Oryzias latipes: one gene and its partners. The protein of the gene in region 1 purifies or fractionates together with the protein of each later gene. This does not show direct contact. Links are inferred from orthologs where the notes say so. Each region holds a gene or a part of one and is shown on either strand. Other genes may lie near its edges. The genes, in order: pin1, polr2d and raf1.

Evidence for each region.
Region 2: the proteins of pin1 (region 1) and polr2d purify together in Homo sapiens (co-immunoprecipitation; 3 studies listed by BioGRID and IntAct, with this or other methods). This does not show direct contact. The link is inferred for Oryzias latipes from reciprocal best matches to the Homo sapiens genes PIN1 and POLR2D.
Region 3: the proteins of pin1 (region 1) and raf1 purify together in Homo sapiens (co-immunoprecipitation; 3 studies listed by BioGRID and IntAct, with this or other methods). This does not show direct contact. The link is inferred for Oryzias latipes from reciprocal best matches to the Homo sapiens genes PIN1 and RAF1.

What each region holds. Positions count from the first base shown.
Region 1 is NC_019859.2:22,494,285-22,498,402, reverse strand, and holds the start of pin1 (peptidyl-prolyl cis-trans isomerase NIMA-interacting 1), read left to right. Parts: upstream 1-1,299; 5' UTR 1,300-1,330; coding exon of another isoform or gene 1,331-1,355; 5' UTR 1,356-1,400; coding exon 1,401-1,458; intron 1,459-2,340; coding exon 2,341-2,423; intron 2,424-3,313; coding exon 3,314-3,422; intron 3,423-3,503; coding exon 3,504-3,614; intron 3,615-4,118. Other genes in the region: ubl5 (ubiquitin-like protein 5), read right to left, coding at 59-96, 194-277, 742-803, 1,103-1,206, 1,331-1,355. UniProt on the Homo sapiens protein: Peptidyl-prolyl cis/trans isomerase (PPIase) that binds to and isomerizes specific phosphorylated Ser/Thr-Pro (pSer/Thr-Pro) motifs.
Region 2 is NC_019878.2:10,414,438-10,418,812, forward strand, and holds polr2d (DNA-directed RNA polymerase II subunit RPB4), read right to left. Parts: upstream 2,887-4,375; 5' UTR 2,751-2,886; coding exon 2,672-2,750; intron 2,139-2,671; coding exon 1,958-2,138; intron 1,887-1,957; coding exon 1,791-1,886; intron 878-1,790; coding exon 799-877; 3' UTR 294-798; downstream 1-293. UniProt on the Homo sapiens protein: Core component of RNA polymerase II (Pol II), a DNA-dependent RNA polymerase which synthesizes mRNA precursors and many functional non-coding RNAs using the four ribonucleoside triphosphates as substrates.
Region 3 is NC_019865.2:17,684,103-17,687,690, forward strand, and holds part of raf1 (RAF proto-oncogene serine/threonine-protein kinase), read left to right. Parts: coding exon 1-27; intron 28-187; coding exon 188-212; intron 213-446; coding exon 447-562; intron 563-648; coding exon 649-766; intron 767-868; coding exon 869-953; intron 954-1,061; coding exon 1,062-1,238; intron 1,239-1,310; coding exon 1,311-1,357; intron 1,358-1,440; coding exon 1,441-1,559; intron 1,560-1,718; coding exon 1,719-1,850; intron 1,851-3,588. UniProt on the Homo sapiens protein: Serine/threonine-protein kinase that acts as a regulatory link between the membrane-associated Ras GTPases and the MAPK/ERK cascade, and this critical regulatory link functions as a switch determining cell fate decisions including proliferation, differentiation, apoptosis, survival and oncogenic transformation.

The DNA of each region.
Region 1 (4,118 bases):
AAATCGGTCCTTTCTGCATCAGCTTAGTAAAGGTCAAGTCAGTGCGTCAAAAGGATACAGTCACCGAGAGACACGTGATCCTTGAAGATGGTGTACCTATTAAAACAAGAACACATTTTCTAAGTAAAGAAGCCAAAAAGGGCAATGTTCATTGTGATGCAAAGAAGAAAAAGGCAAAGGAAGGCAAAGTTACCATTTCTTTAGTACAATTTTGTCATATCTTGTTCCCGTCTGTGCTGCAATTAGTTTCTTCAGGTCTCCAATTGTGTCCTCTGAGCTGTGCAAGGATGTTGAGGAGCAATTTGGTGACGTGGAAAACCCTTCAAAACAAACACTTCCAGCTTTCATGTCCTGAATGTTTTCAGTCTTTAGATTTTAAATAGAGCTGCATGATGGTGCAATGGGGAAGGCCCTGGTTCCAAACCCTGCTGGGACCCTTCTGTGTGGAGTTTGCTTGTTGCAGAGAAACCCCATGCACTCCGGCTTCCTCCCACAGTCGAAAATACATGATTCATAGGTTACCTGGTTATTCTAATGTAGGCCCAAATGGTTATTCTAATGAACCCCAAATGGGTTCATAAGGAAAGGGTCCATCCATAGCACGGTTACTGTGCTATGGATGGACCATAGCACAGTAACCCCCCCCCCCCTTAACTAATCAGAACCAGCATGTTGCAGTGCAGTATTAACAGCCAAAACATCTTTAGCAGATCAGCAAATCAAATGTGTTCAGAAGGATACTTGCACTTGACCCGGACTTTCTTCCCAAGACGATCGTTGCAAATCACCTCAATCATCGTGTACTGTGAAAAAAAGAGGAGCTAGTAAGCTGAAATATTGGAGTTATGAACAGGAACGACATTAATCGTTCACACCACTAACATTAAGTCAAAAGAATGTGTAATTCATTTTGCGTCAACAGCAGAAACTAAATTGACGATGAAATTCGACCAGCCATGATTTTTTTAGCTAACCCGTTAGCTTGTGCACACAACTCTTTTAAATATATAAAACATAAATTAGATGGCGCCTATTAAGATCAACTTAAGGTTTCAAAAATGTTGCCAGACGTGTTAAAAAGATCAAAAAGTGTAAAACATACGTTAAATGTAGCCCAAGATTGATGGATTTTCTTCACTAGTTGAAACCTTCTGGAAAGCTCTCGGTGCTCATCACCGTAGAATCGATGTCGCGTGTTATTGTCCTCTTAACCAATTAGATAGTAAGAAATATGATTGACAAGAGTTGAAGACCAATAGTAGGACGGACAAGCCGTTTGGGGGCGGGCCAAACTCAGAAAACAACTTTTGCCGTAAACCGACTGTCGTACCTGCTGAGCCGTAGCCGTGTCGCATCGTTTGAACGTTGAATTCTAACTTGATAACGTTGCAGCAGATAACATGGCAGACGAGGAGAATTTACCGTCGGGATGGGAGAAAAGAATGAGCCGTAGTTCAGGTAAATATACATAAGACGGGGGAGGCTGAATGTATGAGCTCAACTGCAGCCCACGAGAAGTTGATTTAGCTTATAGCTAGCCCGTGCATCGTGGTAAGCGAGGCTTTGTGAACTTGTTTCAGGTGAGGCTGTCCTGCTAATGCATGCATCGGGGTTACCGACACGGTTTCTATCAGGAAAAGTGCCGCTGGGAAAATACGGTTATGCTACGGTTTGCTTTATAACTAGCTTTTCCCCCACTTTTTTTTCTAATGGAGATGTTCTGCAGGGCCGCCGTTGCATGACGTCACCTGGAATTTGCGCAGACGCAGCTTAGACCTGATGTCTTGAAAGTATTTTGTGAATATATACGCACAGTAAAACTGACAATTTGGGGAATATTTTGTAAACAAGATCACTTTACATTTTTTTCATATATAGGTAATTATTTAACTTTGAGAAATCTACTAAACTTTCAGATCCCCCCCAAAATGTGATTTATTTCTGCAGATACGTCTGTTTATCTGATTTCTCTTCTTCTTTTACAGAAAATCTGTTTGGGTAGATGATTGCCTTGTAAAAACTTTAGGTGTTTTTTTTTCTGTTTTATTTGTGTGTTTCTTTTCAATGGAGTAAAAAGGAAGGATTGCAAAGGAACAGCTTTTTGCAGACCTATAAACTAAATTGAACACTGTCAGCAGTTGATGCATTGGTTTTATTCAAAACCATGCAACTTCATGACCAACTACTATGAAACAACAATAATACCGATACGGGGAATTGTGAGTGCTTTTGCAGTTTTAGTGGGTAAGGTCATGTAAACTGTAATTTGATTTTTGTGTCTTCTAATGTCTTGGATCATTCCAAAGGTGCTGATCAAACTGCTTTCTTTGCTGTTTGTAGGCAAGGTGTACTACTTTAACCACATCACTAATGCCAGCCAGTGGGAACGTCCTGTGGGAGATGGCCGTGGAGAGCCAGATAAGGTGGACTTCATTTTGTGTGTTTTATTAGCAATACATTTAGGATTGAAATCATAATAAATTCACTAAAGAAGTATTTGTAGAGCTTGTGATAGTGATGTACCGGTAATGATTAGTTTTAATGACATTCATATTAGGGCTGCACCATATGAGGAAAACTCGCCATATTAGTGATCAATATTGCGACGACGATAAAACATTCATGAACAAATAGCAAAACGACTAAAAACATCATTTCCATTTTACTGCAACAGTTTAATTTAAATAAGAGTCAACATAACTTAAATTATACTCCAAATGACCCTCGTCTACATAGGAGGCGAACGTCTAACCTAAGAAAAGCTTCAAAATAAATAAATAAAAGAGCCCCATCTGATTGGTCAATTTATTTGATTCGTTAAATACTCCAATATTTGTTTTAGCACATTTAAAGTAAACATTTATTGCTATTTTTGACGACTTTTGCAATATGCGAATTGCACAGCTTGAAATTGCGATAATGATACATTTGCGTTTTGTTGTGCAGGTCTAATTCATATGATCACTTGTGGTTTCCAGTACGATTTTATGGTCAATATTGGTTCAATCTAACTAACACTTGGTTGTTATTATGTTATAGTAAAGTAAACCGTCCCTTAAGCCAAATGGTATTTCCCGATATGGAAATAATATATTTATTTTAATTTGAAACAGTTTTATAATGTAATAGATCGATTCAATTAACAAATGCCTCAGACAGATTGTTCTGCTTGGATCGTAGGAATATAAATCGATTGATTGATCAGGTCAATTAGTCATTACACCCCTGCACAGAAACATTTTATAACACTTTCTAACAAATAGGTGATGATGTATTGTGTATCTTTTTGTGTTTCCTCCTTTCTCTCTCTCAGGTGCGATGCTCCCACCTCCTAGTAAAACATAATCAGTCTCGACGTCCTTCTTCCTGGAGGGAACAAAATATAACACGAACTAAAGAAGAGGCTATAGAGCTTATTCAGAGTAAGTAAGGCAGAGGACAGAAACACCAGATCTGTTTCAAATCTCTACTTAATCTGTCTTTTTTTTGGTTCTGTTTTCTAGAGTACATAGACGAAATCAAATCTGGGCATGAGTCTTTTGAATCTCTAGCCTCTCAGTTCAGCGACTGCAGCTCAGCTAAGAACGGTGGAGATCTGGGACTGTTTGCCAGAGGTACCAACATCATAATGGGAATATTGGGTTTTCTTAGTTTTAGTTCTTCAGCTTTTATGTAGTTATAAGGTAGTATTGTCCTAATATTTACAGTTTTTTAAGTAAAAATGCTTTCTAATTTTAGTTAAAAAATGCTTAATAATTAACTCTGTTTATAAGGTTTCCTCTCCAGCAAAAGCCTCATAAACTTTTTTACTCTGTCTATTTGTTGGTCTCTCAACATTGCTTTGTTGCATTTGCCAGGACAATTCTTATCACTTACTCTGGCACGGGTTGTCTTTTCTGTTGAATCAACCCACAAATGCCAAACTGAAGAGAAATTACACATAATGCTTATATTATACGTATTAGAAAACATGCAATTTAGTTTTAGTCTTCCTAAAATACCCAATTTAGTCTAAGTTGGCTTACGTCTGCATGTTTGCATTCATGATCTACATTTAACTCAAACCTCATCACCCACCTGATTAAAAAAAAAAGATAATGACTAGTAGCACTAACAAC
Region 2 (4,375 bases), on another chromosome or scaffold:
CTAATACTGATGCTATATCACGTCTTTACATTTTTTAATTTATATTGTGTATATAACTTTTTTTTTTTAATGGACAGCAATCCATCTAGGAATCCTTGGTGGAGAAGGGAATGACAGCACCTGTGATTCATTTGCTGCATCTTTTCCTGTTTCACCACCTACCTACCCTTTAGCTGTAATAAAGATTGGAAGATTTGATGAGATCCCTCCCTGCCTCTGTCCCTATGGTCCACCGGCTCTCCTTCTCACTTTGTGATTCTTTTTGTTAAAAGAGCTTTACAAACTTTGCTTGGTTGTTCCTTGGTGTAGTTTTTTTAAATTTTTATTTTCAATCAACACAATAAATCCAGTTCCCTGTTCCGCTCCTAATAAGCGGTTTGGACAGACAACCACACAAAAGCACTAAAAGGGGTTCTCCTGGGACAAGAAGGTTCTGTTGGGAATCAATTTTGCGTGGACTCTGACTCGAAGGTGGTCTTGCAGGTCTGAGCTGGCAGTACGAGTGGGCGGTGTTCGGGATAAGCTCACTGATGATGGATTTGAGTTTCTGCCCATAGGTACCCGAAGGAGCAGAGCACAGATACAGTTTTCTTATCAACATGTGCTGGATTTTCCACAGACCGGATAGAATCAGACACACAAACAGCATCTTGTGTGCCTTTAAAGTACATCAAGATTCTGCTGGGTGGTGGGTGGATTAAATGTTCTGTGATTTTTCTGGTCCCGGTGGAACGTGAACCACGCTGCCTCTGTTAAGGAGAGTTCTGGAGGTCTCAGGTCCAGCTGCTGGTCCTGGTCTTAGTACTGGAAGCTCCTCTTGGTCTGAATGTCATCCAGGATCTGTTGCAGCTCTTCATCCTCAAAGCGACCCTCCAGACTGAGAAAAGAAGCAGAACCCGGCAGAACTTTATTCTCTCAACGATGAATTATTTGATAAGAATTGTAACAACATCACCTGCAAAACGATCCATATCTCAGTAAGATACAGTGGTGGACAAAATTGTTGACAGACTGACTGATTATGAGTTTGAAGACAGCTATGATGTCAATTTAAGGACATACCTGAGTTCATCATGACCCCCTGGGCAATTAGTTCTCAGTCTGTTATGGAGGTACCATCATTTTTGGCCAACCCTATTTCATTAGCTTTTTTTTTTTTTTAAATAATTCTGTCAATCAACAAATTAAAAAGCTGATTTTGATTATTTCATTTTCATTAAATTTTAATTTATTGTTACTTTTGAACATTTCAAGTCATTTTAGTGAGAATTCTGGAATTTGTTTCTATAACTGATGGGTACCAACAATTTTGTCCACCACTGTATATTTTCACAAAAATAATGATCACTAAACAATCTAAAATAACTTATCTGCTATTTTTTAATGCATAATAATTTCAACAAGAAACCAATTCCTGACAAGTAAGAACAGCATAAAACTACATGTCTGTGATGAATTGATCCAAAATGTTTTCTGATCCAGTTTAGGATAATCTCTCAGGTTTTCTCTTTGAATTAATTCAATTAAAGCTGCACACGTCTGCCCTTAATGTAAAATAGTGTTACTTCGACATTACTAAATAAATCTCCTTGGCATCCAGACTAACTTATACTTTTACTCAATTTACTGAAAGTGTTAAAATAAAATAAAAAGTCAAGCCTCCCAAAAATCCTAAAATCACTAAGGTGTTCAGAATAATCTGATGTCAGGTGAATCTTTTCACAGATTGGTTAACGAAGACCCTGTAATTTATGGGTGAAAAGAACAAGTCCGGTTCAGTCCAGACTCACCTGGGGGTCAGAGCTTTAGCCTCCTCTGCAGCTTCAGGACACAGATTCGCCAAACTGGCCAGCTCAAATTTATGGAGCTTCTTCTGCAGGAGGAGACTGAGACAGACAGAAAGGCCATTAGGACCCAGATCAGGGCCAGGACCTGGGACCAGAAGGGGCATCCTTACCTGCGCACGGCAGTGATGGTCTCGCGGTTCTTGAAGCGGCTGAAGCGGGCCGTGTAGTTGAGAGTCTTCATGAAGACCTCGGACAACTCCTGTTCGTCCTCGGCGCTCTCGTTCTGCTGCTTCCTGTGCTCCAGCAGCATGTGGACCTCCGAGTTCAGCAGCGTCTCAGAGTTCTCAAACTCTGCAGACAGCAGGAGGGGGCTGGTTAGTCACTGAATTTGAGCTCAGATTCTACAGAATATCAGCTCCAGAACCATTTTGATTGAAAGACAGAAGGATTCCTGCAGTGATTGTGGACTGGAATTTAAGGCCTGTTTCAAGAAGTAGGACAAAAATCCTGCTGATCAAAGTCAGCCTGTACTATTTTAGGAAGCTTGTTGAGTCTCAGACCTTCCAGGACAGCAATCCATGTAAATTTAAACTTATAGTTTACTCTCAGCAAACAAACAAATAATTCTATCTTGATCAGTGGACCAAACATCATGATGATCACAATACATGTGTGTCAGTGAGAGAAACATTTAACCAGTACAGATGATGATGGTCGTATAATGAAAATATTCAGATTCAAATCGGTGATGCAGCTTACATAAATTAATAATCAGGGGATGATTATCCTCATCGGTCACATATAGCAACGTAATTGTTTCCAATACAGGTTACACTGTAACCTAACAAAAAGTTTCGGAAGTAAACAGTATTTGTGCGCGCCACCTTTGGGAAACAGCAACTGTGACGCGTCTTCTTCGACGTCTCCCACGTGCGAGGAAACCGAGCTTCCAGCGGCAGTCATGTCGAGTCACAGTCACGGGTCGCAGAGGCGCGCAGTACCGATGAGCTCCGTCAGCTTCTCTCGGAGACTACGGTGAGAACGTTAACTGTGCAGAGAACAACGGCGCTCGGGGAACTTCCGGTCACAACACCGATCTACTTCCGGTGATATTCTTCCTCTGCTTTCTTCTGGTTTAGGCGGGTGTCATCTAGCAATAATGGTGCGCTTCTGCTACCTACTGTCCTGGAAGATGAAGTGTAGGAACTCCCCTCAAACACAACGATAGAACTGTTCAGTCATATATGCCCTTGTAATAAATAATTTATTTCCTTGTAAATAAATGTTAAAGTTAAAGATTTAAAGAAAACAATTGTATTTTTGTGTTGAAATTGCTTGTTGATTGCATGTACTTTGAATCTTTTTGGGGATGAGTTTCATTTGTGGTGTTCAAATTCCTCTGTTCAAGTCTCATTAAAAAAGAACAACATTCTTTTTGGTGTAATTTCACATAACAGTCTGTTAAATTTAGTTTAAAATATTTTAACAATCAAAAGCAAATTTTATATTCATAAAAGTAAATTATTAAAAACCAAACCACTGTTTAATGTGTTTCTTAAGTAGATTTGTTTAATTCATGAAAAGTAAAAAAGCAAGAAAATGTTTCAACTTTTTTAAAGGCATTAAATTATATCAAAACTCTTCATATTTAGGTGTTTTTTAGTTGACTCTGTCTTTGTTTTGCTTTCTTGTGTCTTTATTTGATGATCTATCTCATTTTTTGTTCTAAATGTTCTAACTGTTTTACATTTATGTTTACAGGTTCCTAACTTAACATTTGTAGTGTTCAATAATAAAAGACCATGTGAGCTCGCCATAGCATAGACCTGCTGAGATTTTTGGTCCCTGATATTCATTTTAACTTTATTCATCTTTTCCCCTCTCTTTTGAATTTCTTACTGATATGTTTGTCAGTGTTATTTATATCATATAAAATTTGTATTTTTTTTAACCATGTGACCTTTAAAATACAAACCTTTATTTTATAACTAAAAATGTTCTTTATCCGCATTATTAGTTTTCAACAGTTTCAATTGCTTCTTGTATTTCCATGTAGGTACATTATCTTGCTGTGACTGGTCTTTATTCCTCTCTAGATGCTTCTCTACCTGCTCCTTGCAGGTCATAAGGTCATATGCAGACTTTATTTAGTCTTACTTTATTTATTTATTTATTTAGTCTTACTTTAGTCTTTATACTCCACCTGAAGTTGCCACACGTTTTTTTTCACAGCTACACTGGTAGCAAACACTTCTGAAACTCTGTAAACTTGAGAATGAATCTGTAGCAACTATTATTTTCTCACCTTTTGTAATCTCCTGCAACTCCACCAGGTGGCGTGGTGATTCAAATTTCAGAACGGTAGGGTTGGAATGTGTGTGAGGTTTTTACATTTTGTGTGTCCATTGTTTTTTCCAAGACCTTCAGGTTCCTGAAGGGGTTCAAAGCATGTTTTATTGGTAAATTAGGTACTCTACTCTAAAATTGTCCCTTAAGAAGTTTGAATAGACTTCTGATGGTCTAGTAAAGTGCTTAGAGTTATGTTGTTTATGCCCTGAAGTAACTGGAATGGACTCCATGCCCCCGTA
Region 3 (3,588 bases), on another chromosome or scaffold:
GAGGTCCCATCTGAGAGTCCAGAACAGGTTAGAGAGCTGTGTGCAGTCTGACTGGCATGCCTTTACCTGTCTTCACATCTTATCGCCTGGGTTTAAAACCACACATGGCAGCATGGCGTGGGCTTTCGTAATCTTCAGTTTGAGTAAGGTTATTAATCCTAATTAAATGTGGCTTTTATTTTTCTAGGATGCAATGCGAGACCATGACTCAGGTAAGTCTGCTGCGTCACTCTTCCTCTTTTACTTTCCACATAATTGTCAGTCTGCGTACATACTGCTTCCTGCCACAGCCTCTTTTAGAGGAACCTGTTACAAAGAGAGATTTGATATCTGAAAACAATGCATTACACTTAAACAGCCTCAGCTAATCTTTGCCCGCTGGACTATTAATTTAAAAATAAATGTTTTGCCGTGCACCTGTGAGCATTTTTTCTGTGCTCGTGCAGCGGGGAGTTCACCTAACCAGAGCCCAACAGGCTGGTCCCATTCACAATCCAAGACCCCCACCCCTGCCCAGAGGGAGAGGGCCCCGTCCTTCACTGCTCAGGAGAAAAATAAAATTGTAAGTCACGTCGGCACAGACGAAAATACGAGCTTGTCACGTCTTATTTAAAGGTGCGACGTCTGGTTGGTTTTTTGTCCATCCAGAAGCCTCGAGATAAGCGCGACTCCAGTTACTACTGGGAGATTGAAGCCAGTGAGGTGTATCTGCACTCCCGCATCGGTTCGGGCTCCTTTGGAACTGTATACAAAGGAAAATGGCACGGTATGAGACATGCTCATCCCAGACTTTACACATATTCAGCATCAAAGAAGAAAGAAGCACGCCTCCTTTGATATGAGCTTAATTCATAGCTGTCATTCGCAGGTGATGTAGCAGTAAAGATTTTAAAGGTGACTGACCCCACACCGGAGCAGCTCCAGGCATTCAGAAATGAAGTGGCAGTCCTGAGGTAAATGGACTGACTGTCTTCCATCTGTATCAAACCTTTACCTAAACTGTATTTGCATTGTGGCATTTCCCTGTTTGTGGATTTGCTCCTCTTTGTTTGTGGGTGCAGGAAAACTCGACATGTCAACATCCTGCTGTTCATGGGCTACATGACGAAGGACAACCTCGCCATTGTGACCCAGTGGTGTGAGGGCAGCAGCCTCTACAAACACATTCACGTCCTGGAGACTAATTTCAAGATGATCCAGCTTATAGATATTGCCAGACAGACAGCTCAGGGCATGGAGTAAGTCACAAAAGGAGAACTCCCCTCGTGTTTCAAAGGAAATCTGTCTAATATTCCATTTTTCTATTGTAGCTATCTTCATGCTAAGAACATCATCCACCGGGACATGAAGTCTAACAGTATCCTTTCAGTTTTTTCACTAAAACGTGCAAAGTTCTGAATGAATTGTGTTTCCTTGTGTAAATCCTTGACAAAATTGCAGACATCTTTTTGCATGAAGGGCTAACAGTGAAAATTGGGGACTTTGGTCTTGCAACGGTGAAGGCCAGGTGGAGCGGCTCACATCAGGTGGAGCAACCTTCCGGATCCATTCTTTGGATGGTTAGTAACTCCATCAAGATCACAAGCAGTGTCCCAACAGCAGGATTTTGTTAAAAAAACAAAACAACAACAACAACTTAGAAATAGACAAAAAGTTAAATGATTCTTTTAGTGGATGCCAACTATAAAAAGCTTTCTTTCTTTTCTTGTGACTGACAGGCTCCTGAGGTTATCCGGATGGAGGATAATAACCCCTACAGTTTCCAATCTGATGTCTATTCCTATGGAATTGTTCTCTTTGAGCTCATGACAGGAGAGCTCCCGTACTCCCAGATCGCAAACAGAGATCAGGTAAAATCACAGGTATTGTAACATCCGTTGTGCACAAGAGTGTAAAAAAAAAAAAGATTGAAGAAATTCAAGGTGATATCAGATTCAAAAAGCCATTGCCAAAGAATCGCAAACTCACAAATTAGTTTAAGATGACCTGGAAAAGCCACGGTTGTGACGCTCCATTCATAAATTTTTTCCTCCTAAAAAACAGACATTTTCCAGAAAACTCATGGTGGAGAAAGGCTTAAAGTGTGCCGTCAATCACATCCTTCTTGTAAAGAGCCACTCAGATGAAAATGGTGTTTTTAGATTGTTCTTGTGGCATTTTTCCGATGAAACTTGCCTTTACCTTCCATATATCAATACAATTAAACTTGAAACTGTATTTCTGACCATTTCTTCATTCAAATTGATAAAAAAAAAGAATAAAAAGAACATGTTTGTGCACAACATCGAAGGGAAGGGGGGTCTGGGTTGCTCCATGCCAACGGTCCCGCCCACAACTCGGAGGTGAATTGCTAATGGACTGCTGTTCTGCAGAAACAGTCCTAGAAAATGACAGGTTTTCGGATTTTGCCAAAAAACGGTCATCATAGTTGGAAATGCTCTTACAATAGTTAAAAAATAATCAAAATGGGTCTTTAAAGGGACCTAAAGTGACAGAATTCTTTGACTTTGTCCCTTAAACATAATAATTAAGGATATCAAAGACAAAACTTGTGGTATCCTCAGACACAGCTAACCACAGTTTCAGTCAAACTTAATCTGAATCCACTTATTGCTCCCCTCATTGTGACATGTTTCTCTGAAAAAGTTTTTGTTTTGCATTTGGGAAGCGACATCATTAGGTACTTTAGACGAGTGTGGATCAGAGGTGGAAGCTTTTAATTAAACCTACAAAGCTCTGGTTTTGAAACGTTTCTGTTCAGTTATATTGTTGACGGAGAACAGAGGGGGGAAGTTGGAAAAACAGAAGTGACTCACGCGGCCGGCCGATAACAGACGCAAAACCACTTAGTGATGGGCGTGTCTGCGGCCGCACTTTTTAGTTATTTTCAGTTCTGGAAAAATACAATGTAAAAACGTAGTAAAAAAGTGATTAGAAACTATGGAATTTTTACTTTCACTCATGTGGGTTTTGGCCATCAGTTCTGCACTTCAGTTTATTTAAGGCTGCATGTTTTTTCATGTTCAGTTTAAACTGTATAATTTGTTTTTAAAGATAGATCTGCAGCTTTTACATGACTGCTCTTTGTAGGATGATCCAGAGAAAACTTTAATTGTTTTCATTAGCAGTTTTTTATGCTCTCTTATGCAGCATTTCAATGGTTTTGCCAGATTTCCTCCAAAATAATATTCCCATAATACATCAAATGTATGGAAATGAATGAACCCTCAGTTGTTCCTGAACTCACCGGTGAGTTTGCCAATCACATCGACTGTTTACAATGAGGCAGCGATGAAACCAACCAGCCCATTAGTATAGTTTTCATCAAAGTTTTTGAAGGTTTCAAAAAAATTTGAGCTTTGAAATTTCTGGTTTAAGACGAGCATAGGAAGAGTTATAACACATTATTGCGATACCCTCTTGGAATAAATCTTTACAACTTTGCATATAGTTCAGTGGAGCTTTTACCTCTTTTTGTAAAGACAATTTTCACATTGTTTTGACCTTGTATTTAATTTGTTTGTGGATTTACAAAGATTTATCTTCTCTCATAAAACATAGAAACAACTCCGCGAAACAGCGAGACGG